Coturnix japonica: one gene and its partners. The protein of the gene in region 2 interacts with the protein of the main gene of each other region in a pairwise test. Links are inferred from orthologs where the notes say so. Each region holds a gene or a part of one and is shown on either strand. Other genes may lie near its edges.

Evidence for each region.
Region 1: the proteins of HSF2 (region 2) and MTUS2 interact in binary tests that used the Homo sapiens proteins (3 or more experiments, as listed by UniProt). The two-hybrid records come from large-scale screens. The link is inferred for Coturnix japonica from reciprocal best matches to the Homo sapiens genes HSF2 and MTUS2.
Region 3: the proteins of HSF2 (region 2) and WDR5 interact in binary tests that used the Homo sapiens proteins (3 or more experiments, as listed by UniProt). The two-hybrid records come from large-scale screens. The link is inferred for Coturnix japonica from reciprocal best matches to the Homo sapiens genes HSF2 and WDR5.

What each region holds. Positions count from the first base shown.
Region 1 is NC_029516.1:157,159,978-157,166,990, forward strand, and holds the start of MTUS2 (microtubule-associated tumor suppressor candidate 2), read right to left. Parts: upstream 3,735-7,013; 5' UTR 3,617-3,734; intron 1-3,616. UniProt on the Homo sapiens protein: Binds microtubules. Together with MAPRE1 may target the microtubule depolymerase KIF2C to the plus-end of microtubules. May regulate the dynamics of microtubules at their growing distal tip.
Region 2 is NC_029518.1:55,735,125-55,742,212, forward strand, and holds the start of HSF2 (heat shock factor protein 2), read right to left. Parts: upstream 4,024-7,088; 5' UTR 3,978-4,023; coding exon 3,759-3,977; intron 1,441-3,758; coding exon 1,332-1,440; intron 1,099-1,331; coding exon 971-1,098; intron 222-970; coding exon 97-221; intron 1-96. UniProt on the Homo sapiens protein: DNA-binding protein that specifically binds heat shock promoter elements (HSE) and activates transcription. In higher eukaryotes, HSF is unable to bind to the HSE unless the cells are heat shocked.
Region 3 is NC_029532.1:5,716,297-5,723,387, forward strand, and holds the start of WDR5 (WD repeat-containing protein 5), read left to right. Parts: upstream 1-2,917; 5' UTR 2,918-3,041; intron 3,042-4,709; 5' UTR 4,710-4,823; coding exon 4,824-4,904; intron 4,905-5,527; coding exon 5,528-5,636; intron 5,637-6,868; coding exon 6,869-6,942; intron 6,943-7,091.

The DNA of each region.
Region 1 (7,013 bases), on a different chromosome or scaffold from region 2:
CTGTATGGAGTCAGCTCCAAAGCCAATCACAGCATGAATTCCATCTTACGAGGTTCAAGTCTGCTTACTCCCACCATGACACTGCAGCAGCCGCAGCCTGCAAAGGTCACATGCACTACAGAGCTGCACACTGCACATGTCAGACAAACAAGGGACTTCCCATGTCACGATGAATTGTCAAAGCTCTTGTGATTCATACACTGCAGAGCTGACAACAGAAGGCAGTGTTATGCCAGTATTGTTGATATTTAAATAGCTTATTTTTGTTTCTTAAAGGACAAACAATACTTGCTTACAACTGCAATGACTGGGCTCACCATATCAACAGAATTCCCTTCTTAAAAGGAAGCTCACTTCTACTAAAAGTTAAAATGGTAACAGTAAATTATGGTAAGAATCAATGCTAAAAAAGCTCCATGCTTATTTCGGAGCAAGTGTGCATAAGATAAAGCCATGAACATCACACATACAAGAAAAGCAGAATCTGGACAGCTGGCAAACCACAAGATGAGATGAGGAAAAGGTCTGCTAGAAATCCATCAAGTGAGGTAAGAGAACAGACAGAGATATTCCTCAGGCATATACCCTCAAAGTTAAGGAAAAATACTGCCACACAGTTTTATTCTAGCAGGGAATTTATCAGGAAAAAGCACTTCACTTGAAAGCTACAGGAAAGTCCACAAGTTCTTGTCCACATCTTAACTCAAGAAGCATCTCTAGATAATACTAGATTTCTACTGGATGGAGGTGAACTGTTTAGCTGGGGATACTTTATAATCTGTCATAACACAAAAAGCACTGTGCCACAGTCATGAAAGAAAGCTTTTTCAGTTAAAGAATCCTGGTTAATCAATGTAACAGCAGCAGCAAATAAACCTTTAAAACAAATCCACAGTGCATAACAGATGGGGAAAAGGGACACAGATAACAACATGCAAATTACCATTGCATAAATGCAAGTGATGGAAGAAAAGCAATAAATAAATAAATAAATAAAATAGAGCTCTGGTAACCTGTACACAGCAGCAGAGGGCAGATATGTCAATAATTTCCCTGATGCAATGATTGCTGCTAACAACTGGAAAAGGTTTAAACTGGAAGTAGTTAAAGTTAAAAGACAACTGTAGCTATGATCAAACCATCAGACTCACATCAGTAGTTAACAGCATCAGGGAAAGCTTATCATGAGACACGATCAATAAAGCATTGAAAGACAGTAGCACAATCAACACAGCTGTATGGAAAATAGGCTTGGGCATGCAAATCTCTTTCTACACAGTTACATCAACATTTAATAATGGCAGTATAGTGTGCTAACATTACTGCCCCTAATTCCACACTACACATTAATTTAAAGTCATATTACATGAAAACCTGAACTAAAAGATTCACCATCCTTCAACACATCTCATAGTAAATGCATTTTAAGTGACTAACGGAATGGAGGGTCAGCTTCTCAGATAACTGATACTTTACTGGTCCTGCAGGACAGACAATGTACTACATTCAGAAGCTGAAGAGAGCTGCAAGCTGCTTCTGAGAGCAAGACTCATTCACTGCAACAATTTACCTGTGACATGGCAGATTCATTACTACTGATACCCTCTACAACAAGAATTTGATCTCTTTCCAGAAGATTTGCTGAACAAAGGAAATTTAAAAAAAAAAAAAAAAAAAAAGGATGATTCCTGGTATATATTCAGCATTTCCTCAACCCACACAGAGTAGGTAGAAAGAACAGATATTCACGCAGACCCCTCTGGCCTTACAATTTCTAAGTCTAGGGAACAATGACCCAGACATTATTAATCCCTCTGGAATTTAATGCAATAAGTGAAACATGTTTAATCCATCTGATACACTGTAGGATGGCTTCAGTATTTTTATGAGATTTCAATGGTAATCCAGTGTTAAATTACTGGATGACTTAAAATATTGTCAAATTGCTTCGTTGCCTTTCTGGTTATTGCTGAAAGCAGCAAAAACCTCCTCTTCTTTGAAGCAGAGGTAAATTATCAACCATTTGATCCACAACTTCCCAAGCAGAACACTTCAACCTACTCCTTTAAAATCTTTTTTTAATAACACTTTCAGAACAGCATTTTAATAGTGGGTCAGGATACCTCCTATCAGACACAGCTATGAGGGTTACACACTCCAAGTTCATACAAAGATCACTTGAGCAAGGTTATGCTTTTGTACAAACAGCATCCGCCCACTCAGAGCTCTAAGATCTGCATGAGAAAAGTGAAAAGCACATTACATCCTACAAACACACATTATTTGGTCCTGCCTCTTCAAAAGAGTTAGAAATGGGCCAGCAAATTATCCTTCCAGGTTTGCAGGAAGCATCAAATTATAGATAGTCCCCTACATTTCTTGCTCTATTTGACTTCTTCTGGCAGCATTTTCTTTATTTGCAGCCAACTGCTATAGCTACAGGGTTTGTCACAAGCAGTGTATTTCTAGCAATCATTACATCAAGCAAACTCATTTCAAGACTCCTAAGGAGGTTTTTGCCTATCCAATGGCCTTTAATTTCCATGAGCAACTCCTTACTATGCTGCATAGTAGAGTTGTTCCCATTCTTACTGCTGGGATCTTGGACATCTCCCAGTGCCAGCTGCTCTTACCAGACCTTTTTGATTCCAGGTCAGACCAGGTCCAGGTCTCTCCAAATTACAGCAAAATGCTCATGCAGAATCACCAAATCTTTACCAGCAAGGCTACTTTATCACTTGGGGAACAGGCTCAGACCTCCTAGAAATTAGCTGAGAGCCTGCTGTAAAACTGGGCACAGCATAAGATCATGAAAGATGGTTTTGTCCCATCATGACATGGTCACTGCAGAAAAAGTCCTCAGAGCTCAGCTTTTATTTGGTCAGAGTGAAGCTACCTCTGGCTGGGCCAAAGCCAGCACTGCATCTTGCCTGACTGAGGGTCAGCTGGAAGGGAGTCACAAGGCTTTGGGGCCATTTCCAGCATGTTACTGGGGGGCACTATAAATCATGGAGCCAATGTCCCCAGCCTAATGGCAAACACTGCCCCGCAACTTGGCAACATAGCTATCAACTTCTTTTCTCCCTGGTATAACATCACTGTTGACCTTCCAGAAACTTCAGCAAGCAACATTATTGTTCACAATGACTGACTGAGCACAACTTCATGCCACTACAACATGGTTTACAGGATCCATCTCCCAGGAAAAATACACCTTTCCCACTGTCCCAAACATGTGTCCAACTTCAACTATTGTATCTTTAAAAGATTTGATAGCCCAAAGAACACACACAAAGGAAGTAGCTATGTTTAGTTTAGATATGAAACTCAACTAGTATATACCATATATTTTCAATACTCACTATACCTATGAAACAATTCGAAACAACATTAGGAAAGCAAAGGTCTGTTTATGTTTTATAATTCCCCCAGTGCAAGAGCCTCATGGTTTGCTTTGAAGTCACCTTTATCTGCATTGTTTATGAAATCATCAGAGAGCATTTTTCTTTTTGTTGGACAGAATGTAATAAAAATCAAAGAAAACTTGCAAAGAGTTCAGTGGCAAACGTTTACGAACACATCAGACAAATAAAACCAACACAGAAGATAATCTTACCCAGAACGCTGGAAAAACAAATGTTACTTCCATTGGTGATAGTTTGCCTTAGAAAACAGTCCCAGGGTGGAAACCTTTAAAAAAAAGGAACAAAAGGCTCATCAGAATTAGTGTAGGTAACAAAGGCAAACACCGAATCTTTTGTAAACACTGCTGAAGATTAAACATCCTGCACTTTTGATTGTGCTCCTGCCTCAATTTCCTGCCATTAACTCACAGATAGGTTGGTCCCTGTTAAAAGCGACTGAAATCAAGCAACCAGGCAACACACCTACTCTGAAAAACGGGGAAGAGAACACAGAGCTTTGAAACAAACTCTGCATTTTCTGTTCCTCTTCCTCTGAAAGAGCCTTACTCAAACTCTGTGCTCCTATGTCAAATTTAGGTACCTAAGCTAAAGGGGGAAGCACAGATTAAGCCTAGTCAGGTTTTGATGTATTCACAGAGATTGCTGTTTTTAAGGGGTTCTGCATTATTTGACACACACTATGTGGCTATATGGCACTTCAACATACGCTACCATTTGATGATAAAAGGGTAATGCTTTGCTATCCATGGAAATTAAGCTGAGTATGTTCCTTATGATATCTCCCAGAAAAAGCAGGAAGGGAAAGAAAAGAAACAAAGGTGAGGAAGATCACCCAGAAGCCACACAGAAGGAGATTCTCTCAGAAGTCAAGAGAAAATTGCCAGAGTGGTAATTATGGTCTCAAAGATGACAGGCTGAGTCTGAGAAGTTAACAGACAGTCCTTAGCCCAGGATACACTTTCACAAGGGTTAAAAGGTGCCCAAAGTCAAGTTAAAAAGAATCAAAGATGAAACTAGAAGAGGAACTTCCAAGCAGCACAGATCAAACCGTAAGACAGAAAAGCTGGAAAAGCTTTTTTTTTCATAATACAAATACATAAAGTGATATGTATTTGTATTATGAGACAAAAGAGGCAGGAGAGACTATAGAGTGAAGAAAGACAAGTACAAGAAGAGGGATGTGACTGCAGAACAAGCAGAGTAACTAAAGAAGAAACTGATATGACAGGAAAAGAAGGAAAGAAAGAGGAAGGAGAGAACGGGGGGAAAAAGGAGAAGCCACTTGTCAGTTTTTTGTCCTTGAGGTAAAGATGAAGTGGAGAAAAGTTGGATGAAAACCTAGAAGATACTCAAAGATGAAGATACGGATGGGATATTAAGAACGATTTAATAAAATAGTAGTCTTTAAGTACTTGATTCACATGCAATTTCTAGTTACCATTCTTAATTTGTTTCAGTTCAGTGTGGTAGAATCCCTAATCCAAAGGAACCCAAAGCAAAGCTTGCACTAGTTATAGTGAAATTTATACTTCGGTAATGAATTCTAAACTATGTTCTATTTCCCTCCCACCCTCTTTACCCCAGCAAGGCAGGTTGCTTCTCTTCAAATAACTCAGTTAAGTTGCACATTCAGCCTCATTAGCTGCCATCCGCATCTCCCTGTAGTTTTAATTAGATAGGCATCTCTGTGCATAGTTACCTTGATTCTTCTCCCAAACAATCCCACAACATTGCCTACCATTCTTAACATGCTCTTAATTACAGCAGAGGCAGTCAGCACAGCCAGAACACAGCTCTCCTATGGAGAAGTCAGCAGACACACCCTCTGAACAAGTCTAGGGGTCACAGTGTAAGGAGGACATCAACCTATTAGAGAGCACCCAAAGGCTATGAGGACACAAAAGGGTTTAAGGGCTTGCTTTCTGCTTCAGCCCCTGTTCACAGTACATTAGCAGGAACAAAACCTGCAACCCCAGCAAGCATCTGGGGGAACCCCTCAGAGCAGAGGGCCACTGCTCCTGGCCTCCCCATGGGCTCAGCGCTGCTGTCAGCCATTCCTGGCTGCCCAGGGTCAGCACAGATCACAGCCGTGGGGATTTATGTAAGAGACATGTCACTCACAGCGCCTCTCAAATCCCAAAGACATCGCTGTTATGTAATGGGAACAATCAAGCCAGGCAGCTTTTCAGAGATTTGATACTCCAACTGCTGAGCAGCTAAAAATGAACGCTCTGCTCTTGTCAGGCACGGCGTTGTTTCCGCTCAAATCAGGTTAACCTTAACGCTACTGCAGCTCAGTGCCAATGACTCATCCCCCTCCTCGCCCAAGGCAGAGCTCCAGAAAGGTGAAACAGAGCAACATCTGCCCACCCTCAACCAGGTCCTCAGAGGGCAGAGCTCAGTAATTTGTGACCTGAACTTCAGGGCTTTCACTTCAACACCCATGCCTGGCTGGTTCTGACATTAAAGGATGACTCGCTTGGACAGAAGCAATGGGTCTGGACTTCATTGCACAGACTGGATGATGACTGTGAGCCTCTCAGGTTTTGATCAACAAAAATACAAGCACATCTGGCAGTCATCTTAAGTTATTACAGTAAATTCCAACAGTAATGCACACAAACTTGCATTATATAACCATGCATCTATATCATGCTATTTAAGAAAGCATTTTCATTAGCAAGATCCACTGTTTCTGCCCCATCTGTAAGCCACTCAGTGCTCTCCTGTATCACTATCAGGCATGGGTTGATGCAGCTTATTCAAAAAGTCCTAGCTGGTAATTTGATGAAGTTGCTGTTATTAAGATGTTGTGTCCCAGTTCACTGAAGGGAGCTGGACTCCATGGCCTGGAAGAGTCCCTTCCAGCTCACATGATTCCATGACTTTGGTTTATAAACTTCTCTTGAAGCTTTCAGATGATATTAAAGAGTTTCCCACCTCTTCAAATACTCAAATGCATTCTGAATATCTAAGATCTAAAAAAGGATAGAGAAGCACTCTTGTTTTACAGATATTTCATCTTCTGCACATTCTCCCAGCCTTTCAACTTGTCCCATCTTCAAAGAGAGGTGCTATTTCAGAGCCCACACTGCATACTTGTATCACTCTCAATAGCCGTAAACCCCAAGTAGCACATTCAGATTGTGACCATGATACAGCAACCCTGTCCAACCCACTGACTCCTGGATTCAGCTGTATTACCTGCCTATGTAGACAGAGGTTTGAACTCACCTGGGCTCAGAGTATTTCCAGAGGTTGTTTTGATAGTGTTCCTATTGTTAAAGCCTCCCTCTATCCCGTCACACCAACCTTTCATCATAATGGCAAGAGGAGAGCCTCAGATCCCAGTGAGCTGGTACACAAGAGCACATGCAATGAGAGCACAGCTCTACTGAGCACAATGAAGTGCAATTTATTCCTAATGTCTTCTATGAGCCCAGCATCCTGCCAGCTTTCCCTGTGCACAGCACATCATGACTCCTCCTAGCATTCTGGCATGAACAAATTACATCAGAATTGGAAATGTTTAATAGAAAGCCTTCTTTCCCCATCAATCTAATTCTCATTCAATAATAAGAATATACT
Region 2 (7,088 bases):
CCAAAATGAGATCTTACTTTTATGTCATATTTGTTCTCCAATATCTATTACCAGAATTACTCCATTTTAGGTATCAGCTGTTGACAAAGCATTTACCTTTTCAGGGCAGACAATCGAGATTCAATAGTCTCTTGTTTAATCTCCACTTTCTGAGCACTACTTATTATTTTGGAGAGATCCTCCTGGCTTATCTTGTTTTCTTCAGGTCTTGAAGAAGAAACCTTTAAGAGATGAGAATCCAGAAACAAAACATCCCTTTACTCATTGTTAATTACTATTTTCTTTTGAAGATCAAGTATGATGCTGTTGATGATGGTGCTGATAACTGAGTTAAAGTCACTAATAAACCATGCATCAAATACGTAAATACAGAAACGGAGAGACTTCTTACAACAGATGCTGTATCATTCTTATTACAAGCATTTGTTTACCTTCAGATTCTCCAGACATAGTACTCAGCACTCTACATCTTAACTGCTTCAAATGAACCCAGTGCTAACAAGCACATCTCTCTCACCATAGTTACTGCATTTCTGTTTGATATCTACTCTTATGCACCTGATTCTCAGTAACAGCAAAGCAAATTTTAGAAATGTAATAGCAGCACAACAAACACGTTTACATGTTTGCTTCCAGCTCTCCTGGGCAAGAAGGTTACTTCTTGCAGTAGCTATGTTCTGAATCAAGCTACATAAAAAATAATTACATTAGTGATGGTAAAGTTAAAGTGTGTTCTGCCCTCTTCACATATACCTGTTAGATCTTCTATTTGCATGACTTATTTTTGCTGCCTGTGAAACTTACTATAATGAGCAAAAATTATCTAGAGCAGCTTAGTCAAAGCCCCCAAAATAAATAAATCAGAACATACATGAAAATTCCACATGAACTTACAAACCCACAATTAAAACTTGCCATGAACTTTGCTATTCATTTACAATTACAGTTTATATACCGAGTTTTCACTAACCTTCCTTTTAATGTGTTCCAACAAGTCCTCTCGACCCTGCTTAAAATAGGGGTGCTGAAACTCAACTAGACCATCTCGCTCCAGTTTGACAATCCCAGAATCAACATGAACAACTTTACGGAAGCCATCTTTAAATAGAGGGGGAAAAAAAGGAGAAAAAACTCATCTCTCAAAACTCACACTAAAGAATTCAAACTACATATATAACAATATACTGTTCCAACCATCCTTCTATCAGTTTTCAGGACAAGACAATACTCTAAACGCGACGAACACAGTGCAACCGTTCAGAAGAAAATAACACATAACTAAACACATCCAGGATCTTTAACTGTGACAGAAACAAAAGATGAGAACTTACACATGTTTAGCTGTCGGACAAAGCTGGCCATGTTGTTGTGCTTGAAGTACTTTGGCAGAATCTCTTTTGCAAATCTCTGTTCATCCAACACCAAGAAACTCTGGCCATTCTAAAACGAGAGACATAAAGCTACTTAAGACTATTGTAGAACACACTCTGGGCTTGCAGAATTAATCACCGCATAGGAATGTTTCCTTTGTGCATGCAGGACGTAACTGATCTGCTTGCCTGCAGTTTTCCACAACAAAAGCTTATAACTGCCAGTTGCAAAGCAACAGAGAACTATCAATTTGCATTGCCATCCATATCTAAAGGAGAACATTTCCACTGCTTCTCTCCACACTTCCTCAAGAAATTAATTAAGGACAAGTTTAGCAACAAGCACCGGTTTCACTACAGCACAACACCATCAATTTTGTAACCTACGAGCTTCAAAATCTTGAGAGGGAATACAAATACAGCAAAGAAACCGTACAAGGTCAAAATCAAAACAACCCTGCAAATCACAGCTGAAAACCTTTTTGCTATCCAGCGCTGAAGTATGACTAGTTTGTTAAGGCTCACAGACAAGATGGAGCTGTCAAAGACCTCAGCTTGTCCACAAGATTTCAAAATGACCATAAAGCACTCAAGACAGTAATTCCTTCCTCCTGCGTGCCAACTCTGAGGATCGATCTTTTACCCAATAAACTGATCCTCGAATTACATCCACAGACTGAGACAAACAGAAGCCTCCGTTCTTTGTTCTTCAATAATCTTGCTCCATTAACTAAAGGGCAAGAATTGGCAGAATCAGAATTAGAGGCTTCAAACTGCCAGAGGTTTTATCTGTAATCTACTCGCAACAACCTCACCTCACCTATCAGCTTTGACAAATGCCAACCCTTACTCTCCATCTTCTCGGAAGCCCTTCAGTTCGAGGAGCCACACTTGCTTCCTACCCACAGATGCCACCAGCCACACGCTCCCCAGTAAAGCCTCAAGAGCCAACTATGAGACCACATGAAGACTGCTCATGTGGGAACTCACTTTTGACAAACGATAAACTTCCCAACTTCCCAGTAATGCATGTCTATCTCCTGCTGAGAAATAGGCAGCGTAAAGAAAACGGGAAGTAAAAGAAAAGGTGAGAGATCATTTTAAGTTAACCTGACTCACCAGTTTAAGGTTTTAAGTGGTGCTACAGCAACCTGTAATGCCAGCAAACAGCTTTTGTGCAGCACCAAACTTCATTATCACCTTGAAAAATTTCTAACCTACTGCCATTGGTCCTTGTTGCCCCGATGCTTGCTTACATCGATGCTGTAAACGTGCTAATGCCCAGCTTTAACCCAGTGAAGCATCACTGTGTACCTGAACAGGGTTCTCAAGTCCTGTTGTTACTGACAGCAGCGTGGGACACTTTCCTATATACTTTATTCATTATTCCTGCTACCTGTGCCTCCATTAAGACTGTGCAGTGTTTATCACAAGTTAATGATGTCCAGCGCACTACATGTGCCAGCCTCTTCACTGCATGCAAGCAGGCAGTTACTCCCTGCCTTGAAGTACATAAATATACTCCTAAACTCCGCAAGCTGATAATGCGTTTTTTATTATCTACCACCGCAGCTTGCATTTTAGCACAAGGGATTCAGAAGGAAAGGACATCCCTCTCAGGTTTTACTTGTATTAGATTGTAAGGATCGACCCAACGCTAACACACATCGGAACGATAACTACGGGTTCCACGACATCAGCAGCAGCAGCCCAACTCCCGTCCCGCGCTGGCACCCGCCGGGCACTCAGGGACTTTCCATAGAGGCAATGCCCGCCCGGCTCCGTCCATTCAAGGTGCCCAACACATCCGGGCCACCACAACAAAGGCCGCCGCGGGCCGGGCTGGGGGCAGCCCCGCAGTTACACCGCGTGCAGGTGGCCGCGGCCGACGCAGGAACTGCTACCCCACGTGGCCGCTCGGGGAGCGGGGCGGCCGCGGGGGGAGACGTAAAAACGCCGTTCTCCCACCCATCTTATACGTGCAATTCGCAGCCGTTACACAACCCCGCGCACTACGGACGAGCCGCAGCGCAAAGTACCGCTCCGTTGTCAGCGCACGCCGCCCGATCCCCTGCCCCAGCCCGTGCCCCGCGGCGGCTCCCCGTCCCAGCCGCGCCCCGGTACGTTCCGCAGCCGGCGGCAGGGCCAGGCCCCGGGCTGCCACCCGCGCTCGTCACTTCCATCCGCACGCGGTGCCCGGATAACCGCGCCGAGGTCGCTCCCCCCGCCGATGGCCCGCCCGGCCGCGCCCGGATTTCCCGCCCCGCGCCGCCCCGACCGAGGCCCCCTAAGGCCCCGTAACCCCAACCGGGCCCCACCGCCGCCGTCCCACACCGGGGCACGCGGCCGGGGCGGGGCGAGCAACGGCCGGGACTCGCGCCGCCGCACCTGGCTCCAGGTGATGAGCTGGTTGCTGGGCGCCTCGCCCACCAGCGCCCACAGCTTGCTGAGGAAGGCCGGCACCCCGGCGCCGGCGGAGGGCGGCTGCTGGGCCGACGGCTGCTGCTGTTGCGGTTCCTGCTTCATTGTCGCTCGAGACCTCCGCCGTCTGACCGGAGGAGGGGCGCGGGAGGACTGCAACCAGCGCCGCTCGGCCCCGCCCCTCATCCCCAGCGCTTGCGCACGAGGCCGCCCCGCATGCGCGGCCGCCGGCGGCACGAGGCGCCTGCGCGGCTCTCAGGCCCCGCCCCGTCGGGCCGTGCGTTACATAACGGCACACGTGCGCCGGCAGCACGTGACACAACAGCGCACGGCCGCAAATAAGAGCAGGGCGGGGCCAATGGGATCTAGGCTGCTGCTCCGGGGCGGGGCTACGGGTGGGCCCCGGTGGCGCAGTGGTAGGAATGGCGCGTTGCAACACCGGAGACCGTGGGTTCGAATCCCCCTGTGGCGCAAGTGGTAGAAGTGCCGCTCTGCTACACAGGGGCTCGAATCCCGGGGGTTGGACTCGATGATCTCTAAGGTGTATTTTGGCAGCAGATATCTCAGCATTGAGATGGAATCTTCAAGTATATATGAAACTGTGCTATAGAGCAAAACAGATGGCACAAAGAATAACCCTCATATAGCACTGCTTTACAATTGCGAATGCCATCTGCCTTCTCTCAATGCCAACACTGCAGCGGTACCCACAGAGTAGTTCAATAGGGCTATAGCAGCAGCCTGTATACATTCTGACATCAGACACTGAGTAAAGTCTAAGTCAACCTTCCACACACTCGCCTACAGGCAAGTAGCACAACGCAAAACAAACAAGTGAAAATGACACGAGGGCAAAGGTAAAGGGTCAGGTTTCAAGGCAATACTCTTCTTTTTATGGCTGCAGTAGGTGACATTCAAAGGCTGTTGCATTGTTGCTATGATAAAAACCACATCTTTCTTGGCTACCTTAACTCTCAGACACTCTAATGATGTTTCAAATTCAGTTACTGTAATTATTTGCCTACATTGATCAGAGTGAAAGAAAAAGACAAAGCAGTCACAAAATTTCGGAGTGCTTTTTAGAGGTTGCTCTTCCAAAGTGAATATCTTCTTGGTTTTGTGCTGTCCTCGTGCAGCTGATTCAGGTACTGTTCATTTTATTTGGATGGCCGCATGATCTGTTGATTGGTTTTCCTTCTCCACATACCCTGCAGGAAAAGCAGATGGTAGACTCAGCACACAGGATATCTAATGGACTATGTTGAAATCAAGAATGACAGTACGTTTTACAATTAAATAGCTGTTCTAAGTAAGAAGTTAATTTCCATTAACAATAGCAGCTTTTGTTATTTTAAAAAGAAAAAATATCAGACCTACAGTCATATTTATTACTATCTCTTCAGTGTGTCTTCCTATAGAATCATAGAATCACCAAGGTTGGAAAAAACCTAAAAGATCATCCAATCCAACCGTTCACCTATTACTAATGGCTCCCACTAAACCATGTCCCTCAACACAACATCCAGTCTTTCCTTGAACACCCCCAGGGTCAGTGACTCCACCACCTCCCTGGGCAGTCCATTCCAGTGCCTGACCACCCTTTCTAAGAAGTAATACTTCCTAATATCCAGAAAATATGTGCTATAAAAATAGCACAGTAGTGCTACTCATTTCCTCTTTGCTAATGCATGTGGAATACTTGTTTCAGCCTTTTCTGAGCTGGACAAGTACTCCTAGATCCCATGAGAATGCTCAGTACACCTTAAAAGATTGTTTTGATTTTATTATGAGTGAAAGCTGCATGATGAAAAATGGCCTGTTTTAAACAAACTGAGATAGCAACTAATTAAGTACAATCAGTTTCTTAAAAAAATTCCACTCAAATGCTTGAAGCCCTTAAAGTTTAAAAGTGAGATAAAAAAATCCGAGCCAAAACCAATTGTTTATGTAAGAAGAAATTCCAAATTCAGGACAGATTATTTGATCTTCAGGGCTTCCTGCAAAGCTTGTCATCTTTACTAAAGCTTTTGAAAACTTTCAAGGAAGAACAGGGCTTCCATTGTTTTACTCTTCCCCAAAACACAGAGGAGAAACTCCTCACAAAGTGCCAGCAAGCAATTTTAACCATGTATTTGAAAAGCAAAAATAAGTGTTCTTAATAAGTTATAAGAATAAATTGTATTAAATTCGTCTACCTCTTTAAGGCTAGAGGTACTATTTGAACAGACCACATCCACCTGCTCTGTGGCTATGGGCTGTTGTGTGTCACTCCCACACCACTAATGGTTATTTAAGAACACTTCAGCCAGTTCGGACTAAGAAAGATTCAAGACTGAAAATAAAACAAACAAAAGTGGTTAATCTCAGTATGATTTACCTGGAACTGAACAAGCAGATCTTTATTTTTCTGTATCTGTGACTAATCCATTCCTGTTTGTTGCTTTTTCAAGTTCCTATAAGTTAAAGGCAAAAGAAAAGCTAATTAATATCCAGGAATGTAACTGAAAAGGCTAGTTTTTCTGTATTGTGAGATGCTGGAGAAAGTAGTGACTCACTGCAGTTTTTGAAGGATTCTTTTTTTCCCTTTCCAGTTTGGTTAAAATTACCATTGTAGCAACCACACGCTGCTGTTGAAATGAAACTGAAATACTATCTATGCTTCAACTGCAATTGCAACTGTCATTATCTTTGTTTAGTTTGCCAAATGTAATCAAGCTGCTTTTGAAATTGCTATCAAAGTTGTTCCTTGCTAGGCTACGCGTTCTTCCCCACAAAAATTGGCTATTACATTGAGATTACGTGTTAAAAATACAAGACAAAGCCAACAACTGGAAGTTTACCTAGAGGCTGGGGAGAGGTATAGTATAAAAAGAGCTGCAATCAGATCCCACTGACTCTCTTCTTCAGGGACATTACAAATAACCGATTAAGATTACTTTCATTTTCCCACTGATGATTAAAGTTCTCCATTCAGCACTGAGGAACAAATCTCAGGATGTAGCTAGATATGTTTTAAAGGTTTCTTTGGTTTGTTTTTTCTTAAGGTGGTCTCTCTCTCACACACACACACACACACACACACTGTAATCCAGTTCAAATAATTCTCATTGAAAAGCAGTTGCGTCATCCCGATGGAGAGAAAGGTCTAGGAGTGAAAGTGAGCAGCTAAGGAAGCATGAGTTAGAACAAATACCTTCAGGCTTCTCTCCTCCCAGCAATGGATTCACAAGGAAAGGCAGAAAGCAATAAAAGCATGATGATTCTTGCTTCTCACTTGATTAAAACTGTAGAATGAAA
Region 3 (7,091 bases), on a different chromosome or scaffold from region 2:
CCAGCCAACGTGGCTAAGTAGCTCTGGCCACAGTAAATAGATTTGTTTGGAAATGAGCTGCATCTAAATGGTTTTTTCACATGTTCAGTGTGATGTAGAAGCCTAGCACCTGCTGTTAACACAGTGGTTTGCATAGGAAAGCAAGCTTATGAACAGTATTTGCTAGGCAGTTTAAACTATTAGATACCACAATGCACTAGACTTCAGCTGCCTAAAGCCTTCATGTATTTCTGTGTATTTTCTTAGTTTTCATTCTTTCCTCAGCAGGCTGGAAAAATGCTAAAGAGAAGCTCTAACCCAACAGTAACGCATTCAAATATCTGCATTTCTAAATGACAACAAATAATAAAGAGAAATTTTACTAAAACTGGATATATACTAAAATAGGGATGTGAGCTAACTGCATAAAAACAACCAGTAGTTGTAGTTGCACCAGCAACCATTTGCAGCAGCTGAGAACAAAGTTCCTGATTCACAGAAATGCTGAGAACCTGCTGCTCCAGTTGAAGAGGCTGGGAGAAGCAGGCTGTCATCACGTCTGGCAGTCAGACCATGTGTGATTCAGTTTGGGGCCCTCAAATCTGCAGCCTTCACATATTAACTTGGCTGTGACTTGCACTGGGGTTGCATCTGCATTGGATGAGACGTTATAGCACATTGCTGGACTCAAATCTTGCACAAAGTCCCAACTTCTCCCACAAAAACATAGACTGCTACTCCATAGGTCTTTCCTAACATGAAGTTCTATAAATTCAGTGTTCAATAATCTAACCTTAAAATAAGTTCTTCAACATTCATTGGGCCTTTGTGTCCAGGCTAAGTGTTGGTGCACATCCCACCCAGGGCAGAATGAATTGAATCTAGCTGCCTTCTGCTGGGAAAACTATTCCTAGTTTTAAATGAACAAACGTTGGCAGTCATGCAAGTAAGGTTCATATTGTAGTGGGGGAGCTAGAAATATCAGTTTGGAAAAGGTTCAGTGTTTGAGTTTAAATCCCTGAAGAAACATATGAATGTGATGCATCTTTGATTTCAGCCTATTAGCAACAGCACAGGAACAGCTATATGTCAAGGATCAGCTGCTCTTTAAAAGTCTAAAAGAAGCAGCAGATCTCTCACAAGTTCTTGCTCCCTCTGTTTCTTGAACAGTGTGTAACATACAGCATGCCTGTTCTGTGTTCCATTTGCCAAGAGGCTCAAGTAAATATAATGTCCTAACAGAAGTTGCTAATTGTGCCAAAACATGGGCTTATATAGCTTGTAAACTTACCGTCTTATTACTCACCATTGCAAAAGTAAGCATTTGCTTGTTTGCAGTGGCCTAAAGAGCAGATCCAACATGTGCTGAAGTTAGTAGGAGCTTTTCTGCAAACATTAACGTCCCTTGGATCAAATGTGCAGGGTTGGATCAGTTTTCGTCTCAGTGGAACCTGTGACAGAATTGTATACGTTAGTCAACAGCAGAATCCGCGGCCTTGGGTCTGTTCCTGGCATTCTTAAAGACATCCAGAGGGCTCACACCAGCACTGAAAGCAGTCACTTCCCAATCATCTGAGACACTTATGGACTTTTCTTTCCTTTTCAGCATTACGGGAAGCTTTTCTCGCCCCCCAGAAGCCTCACAGACAGGTGTCTTTTCCAATGTACTTGGCAGATCACCAAGTTCAGGCTATTTGGAACCAAAAGGAATGAAAGACTTTGTGAGAGAGAAGCCTGCCAAGGCCCAGTCTTTCACAGAGAGGGAATTTGGACAGAGATCACATCCTGCTGATCCCAGCTGTGGCAGCATGGCCTGCGGAGCAAGAAGGACCCTCACAGATGACTCATAACCCACAAGTTCAATTTCATCCAAAGACAACAGGCTGTCCGTGCAGATTCTCTATTTATGACATTTGTTAAAGATAAATCCAGGACACTCAGAGGCTAAGGGGTTGCTTAGGATTACAATTACCATTTGTATTGGAAACTATAGTTTCCAGTTCCAGAAAGGTATCATTCAGTATAGATATAGATTAATATATATGAAATATCAGGCAAAAAAAGCTTCCACAACGAGAGGAGGCACAGTACAGAAATACAGGCTCTTGTCTCCTATGTGAAAGCAACACCTACCCTTATCACAAGAAAGCTGCATGAATGTATAGCATTACCCTGCTGATTTGTGGTATTTAGTCTTCTTTTCTTTCCAGAATGAAGACTATACACCAAGGCAAGAACTGGATTTATTCCCTAACAGCATAGGATGGATGGAGCATCTCTCACAGTTCCATGCCTGTATTTTCCCCCCATGGTAAAGGGCAGGGTTAAAGCTGCAGACTTCAGCTATGGGTTTCCAAGCTGGAGAAGGGCCTTGGCTTCATTACACCATCACTTTTTTCCTTTCTCAGCAGCCACCAGCATTTCTGGAGCCCGCAGATCTTCCTGTGTTACAGGGCCAGCACATAACACGTGTCTCTTGGTTTTCTTCCCTCTCACTGAAAGCAGTTCGGAAAAAAACCCACTGTTTTCCAGAAAAACACTGAAATTTGAGGAGAATCTGCATGCAAGCTAAATGGAAGCTAAATATATCCCTAGGCAGGGCTAGGCCGCACACCTACCCTCGGTATAACAGCATTACGTGGCCTGCTGTGCTGTTTACCTTACGGATTAGCTCAGTCTCCTCACAATATTGTGGGTTAAGCATGAATTTTCAGTGCTTTCGTTCCTTCATTCCTCAGGGCAGCGAGCACACACCTGAGGGATGGAGGCCTTCAGCACAGAGCCATTTCCAAAGGCGGGAAGCAGGCTGAAAAAAGAAGCGCGTGGCCCTTTAAGGCGCACGGCCCCCACTGATGCTTTTTGTCCCTCTGGCCGCACCGTAGCGCTCATGGGAGAGAGCGGCATTGTGCAGCCTTTGGCCTACATCGCGCATGCGCAGTGCCACATTCCCCGCCTGGCGGCTCCGGTGCTGCCGCCGCCGCCGTGTCCCCCCTCCGCCCCTCCCGAGGCAGGAGGAGGAGGCGGCGGTGCCGGGTGTGCACCCAGCCCTTCCCCTTCCCTCGGTAAGTCACTATGGAGCCCGGCTGGATGGGTTCCTTCAGCTCCGGCTTCGTGTGGGGAGCCGCCTCTCCTCCCTCCCCCACCGCCCTCACTCTGAGGCGAGAGGGGGCCGCGTGCGGCCTTGCATTGCTCTGTATGTGCATTGCATTGCTCTGTGTGTGCATTGCATTGCTCTGCAGCTCCGTTGCTTTGCCCTGCAGCTCCATTGCTTTGCCCTGCAGCTCCCTTGCTTTGCCCTGCAGCTCCGTTGCTTTGCCCTGCAGNTTGCCCTGCAGCTCCGTTGCTTTGCCCTGCAGCTCCATTGCTTTGCCCTGCAGCTCCCTTGCTTTGCCCTGCAGCTCCGTTGCTTTGCCCTGCAGCTCCATTGCTTTGCCCTGCAGCTCCATTGCTTTGCCCTGCAGCTCCATTGCTTTGCCCTGCAGCTCCATTGCTTTGCCCTGCAGCTCCATTGCTTTGCTCTGCAGCTCCATTGCTCTGTGCTGCTCCACGCCTCGCTGTAGAGCGTGCAGCCCTGTGGATGTGTGCACGCCCTATGTACGTGCACACACGTGGCTGTGTATCCTTGCAGGCTGTGTATCCTTGCAGGCTGTGTATTCCTGCAGGCTGCTGCTGCTTCTAAAGCCTTCGGGAAGTTTCTTGCTTACAAGCTGAGTTTACACGAGCTTCCCCCCTGGGTGTGGTGAGAAAGGGGTGTTTGCAGCCAGGGCCCTTTGAAGCTTGCCATGTGCTGCTGCTCAGGTTTGTATGAGGAGGTGCAAGGGGTAAGCTGTGTTGCTTGCTCAAGTTCCCATATAAGTTCAGGTTGAAATGCATTAGATCTGGATTATAGAGCTGGAGTTGCTGGTATTAACAGTAAGTAAGGAGTCTGTACTGTGCTTGTAAAGCTTGCAACTGGTGGCACTGAGCTCTGTGCCCTCCTGAGGACAAGATGTGCATCGTGGCTTGAAAAGTCAATGCTGTTCCTCTTGGATTTGCTGCCACAAGCAAAATGGATTGTGCTTGGGATGGGATATTGCAAATAGCAAAGGATTTGTAAATCCTTACAATGTGAGCTGCGGGTTATTCTGTTACACTGCTGAAATGAAGCTGAACTGCAGCGTGATTGTTCCCTCTGCAGCATCAGCCCTGATTGCAGGGTACAGCACAGCACTGCTCAGGTTTTGCTACAGAAAGCAGATCTGGTGAGGTTAATGCAGGGCTGCTGTTAGGCAGGGGGATCTCTCAAGCAGGGATATGGTGCTCACAGCATTTAGGGGGAAGGTATTAGACCAAAGTACTTGAAATAGGAAATGGAAAAATAAAACAAACCTGGTGTGGTTTTAAGCTTTGGAAATGCCTTATATATAAGGTGTTGTATTTGCTGTGTTGTACAGATGTTTCAAGGAATATAAGATAAACCCACTGCCTCTAAGAGCTACTCTGCTTTATTTGTAGTGATTGGTACAAAACACAGCAAAAAACGCTGTGCAGGAGCTGATCAAAGTCTTGTATTTGGGTTCTTGATAGACCACTAATAGACCTGTAGGCATAAAATGGCATGTTGCTGAGCAGGCGTACAATATGTTTCCTCATCATGTTTTCTGCAGACCTGCAGTTAAGCTGATCTTGTTCCTTTAGCTGCCTCTGATCCTTCTTTGATGGTTAATGTGATTGTTTGCTTTTTCTTCCAGGGTTTTGTTTCTAGCAGCGCTGTTCCTCTCCCCGTGGCAAGGGCTGCCTTGTGAAGCAGCACGTTCATTCTCCCCCTTCAAGCACCGTAGGTCTCATTTGCCGGCTTCAGAACCATGGCAACAGAAGAAAAGAAACCAGATGCAGAATCCACCAAAACACAATCGACTCCTTCCTCCTCAACCAATCAGAGCAAGGTGTGTGTGGGGAGCTCTGAACAATGCCTGCGTAAATGCACATGGTGCATACCTGCACGTGCACCAGGCAAACAGCAATTAGAGAACTGAATCAAGTATGCATTAAGAACTTCTTAATACGTCTGCCTCTGCTGTTGTATGGAGAGGGAAGTGTGCTGAAGGTTGTAGGGGAAAAGCAGGCTGAGTACAGCTTAGTGCTAGGTTGATTATTTGGTTGAAATAGAGTTTTAAGGGGCCTGGGGGAGTTGGCTTGTGGTTGCTTCTGAGCAAGGAATAGAACTACAGGCATTTCATAGTACTATACACAGAGTATAAAACCATCACCAGAGGTTTTATTTTAATCTCAAAACACTCTGTGCTCGAACTGTTGTGTTACTGTCATCTGTTAGTTGCAGGCTTGAAGGGAATTCAGATCAGGATGAGTTTGGTGGCACGTGGCTGTAATGTGCTTCTGGCTCCAGTGGGGGCTTGTTGAATTTGGTGGGGGGAGAGAATGTAAATGGTAGAATCTGTTCAGGTGAATGTATGTATTCATGTGTGCTGATCTCGTCTGATACTGAGCTTGTCACTGAGAAACTAAATTGGGAATTTATTCAACTCATTCATATGTATTTTTCTTCCAGCCTGCACCAGTGAAACCAAATTATGCTCTAAAGTTCACGTTAGCGGGACATACGAAGGCGGTATCATCTGTAAAGTTTAGTCCTAATGGAGAGTGGTTAGCCAGCTCCTGTAAGTATTGCTTTCTTACATCAACAGAATGCAAATACGGGCCTTGTAGAACTACTTGTCTTAACTGACTGGATGGAGAAGGGATAAGTGTCCTTACTGTTCTTAAAAGGAACAATGCCCAAACTGGCAGACTTTGGGATAATCCAAGATCTTTCAGTGTTTTGCTAACTCAGAGTCCTTTCCTGTTTAGTTTTCTTACTGTGCAAGGGGACAAAAGCAAACGGGATTCTTGCCCCATCCTTGTGCTTTTCTGTGGCACTAAAGATGAAGCTTAAGCTTTTAAATTCTGGGTGCGGTACCTGCAGGTAAAACTCAGCTCTGGGAAATGTCAGAGTTAACTTGGCACTGCTGGGCTGGATTGCATTGTGATGTGAAGGACTGCCTGTGTGCTTCTGTTCTCTGTGCCTGTGGTTCTTAGCAAGTCAGAGCCTTAGATTATCCCAATGAAATATGCAGATCATAGTGTTTCGCTGCTCCCTCTTAGTTGGCAGGTTGAGTTCTCCCCTGACAGCTTTGGTGTTTGTCACCAAGAAAACTGCTTGGTAGCTTTCCTTAGTAAATGTCCTTATACTAACCTCAGTGAGGTACTGTATATGAAGAAAGAGCAATTAAAGAACAATATTGAATGTGATGGTGGGAGCCAGTCAAACATCTTCCAGACATGGGAATTACTTCGGTCTTTGGCTTAACTTCACATTGCCTTTATAAGGCCAGTATACCATGTGTAAATCACTTTTATGTTCTGTTATCCTTATGAAAGACCTTTTCCCCCATCCTAAGGTTTTCCAGCCTCTGGCAAATATCAACCTCTTTCTCTGGCCCGTTTTGCAAGTTAAAATGGACAGCATGTTTGGGTTTATGCAGGCATTAATTCATTCCAGGTAGTGATGTAATTTTTGCTCTTTCTGGGCAAAAGAGTTTCAGCATTCCACATGGAACAGTACTGCGTCTACCACTGGCAGGCTTAAACAAAAGTAGAAGCTCAAGTTGTCATCAGAGAAACTAAAGCGACTGGAGACTGCATTCCAGGCAGCTTATGTAATCTCAGTTGCAGCAGTGAGTGTGGTGTGTATGAAACCATTCTTTACCAGTTACATACAGCCTTATACGCTTGTGTGTGCATAGAGAGGGAGGACTACCCACCTTTAGTAGGGGCATGGTTAACATATCCCTGTCCTCCAGCTGTGTCTGTCAGTGCTGCATGTCTCTTAAACTGGCACATTCTTTTCCAGCTGCTGACAAACTTATTAAAATTTGGGGAGCATATGATGGCAAGTTTGAAAAAACGATATCTGGCCATAAACTGGTAAGTATAAGGACTCACTGCGTATGAGTCTTTTCTTGTAATGAATTTATTCTCCCTTCTTTTTCCTCATCTAGTCATTTCCATTCGTGGTTCCTTTGCTGCAGAAGGCTGTATTTGTATCTCCTTGTTTATACAGTCCTGTGCAGTTG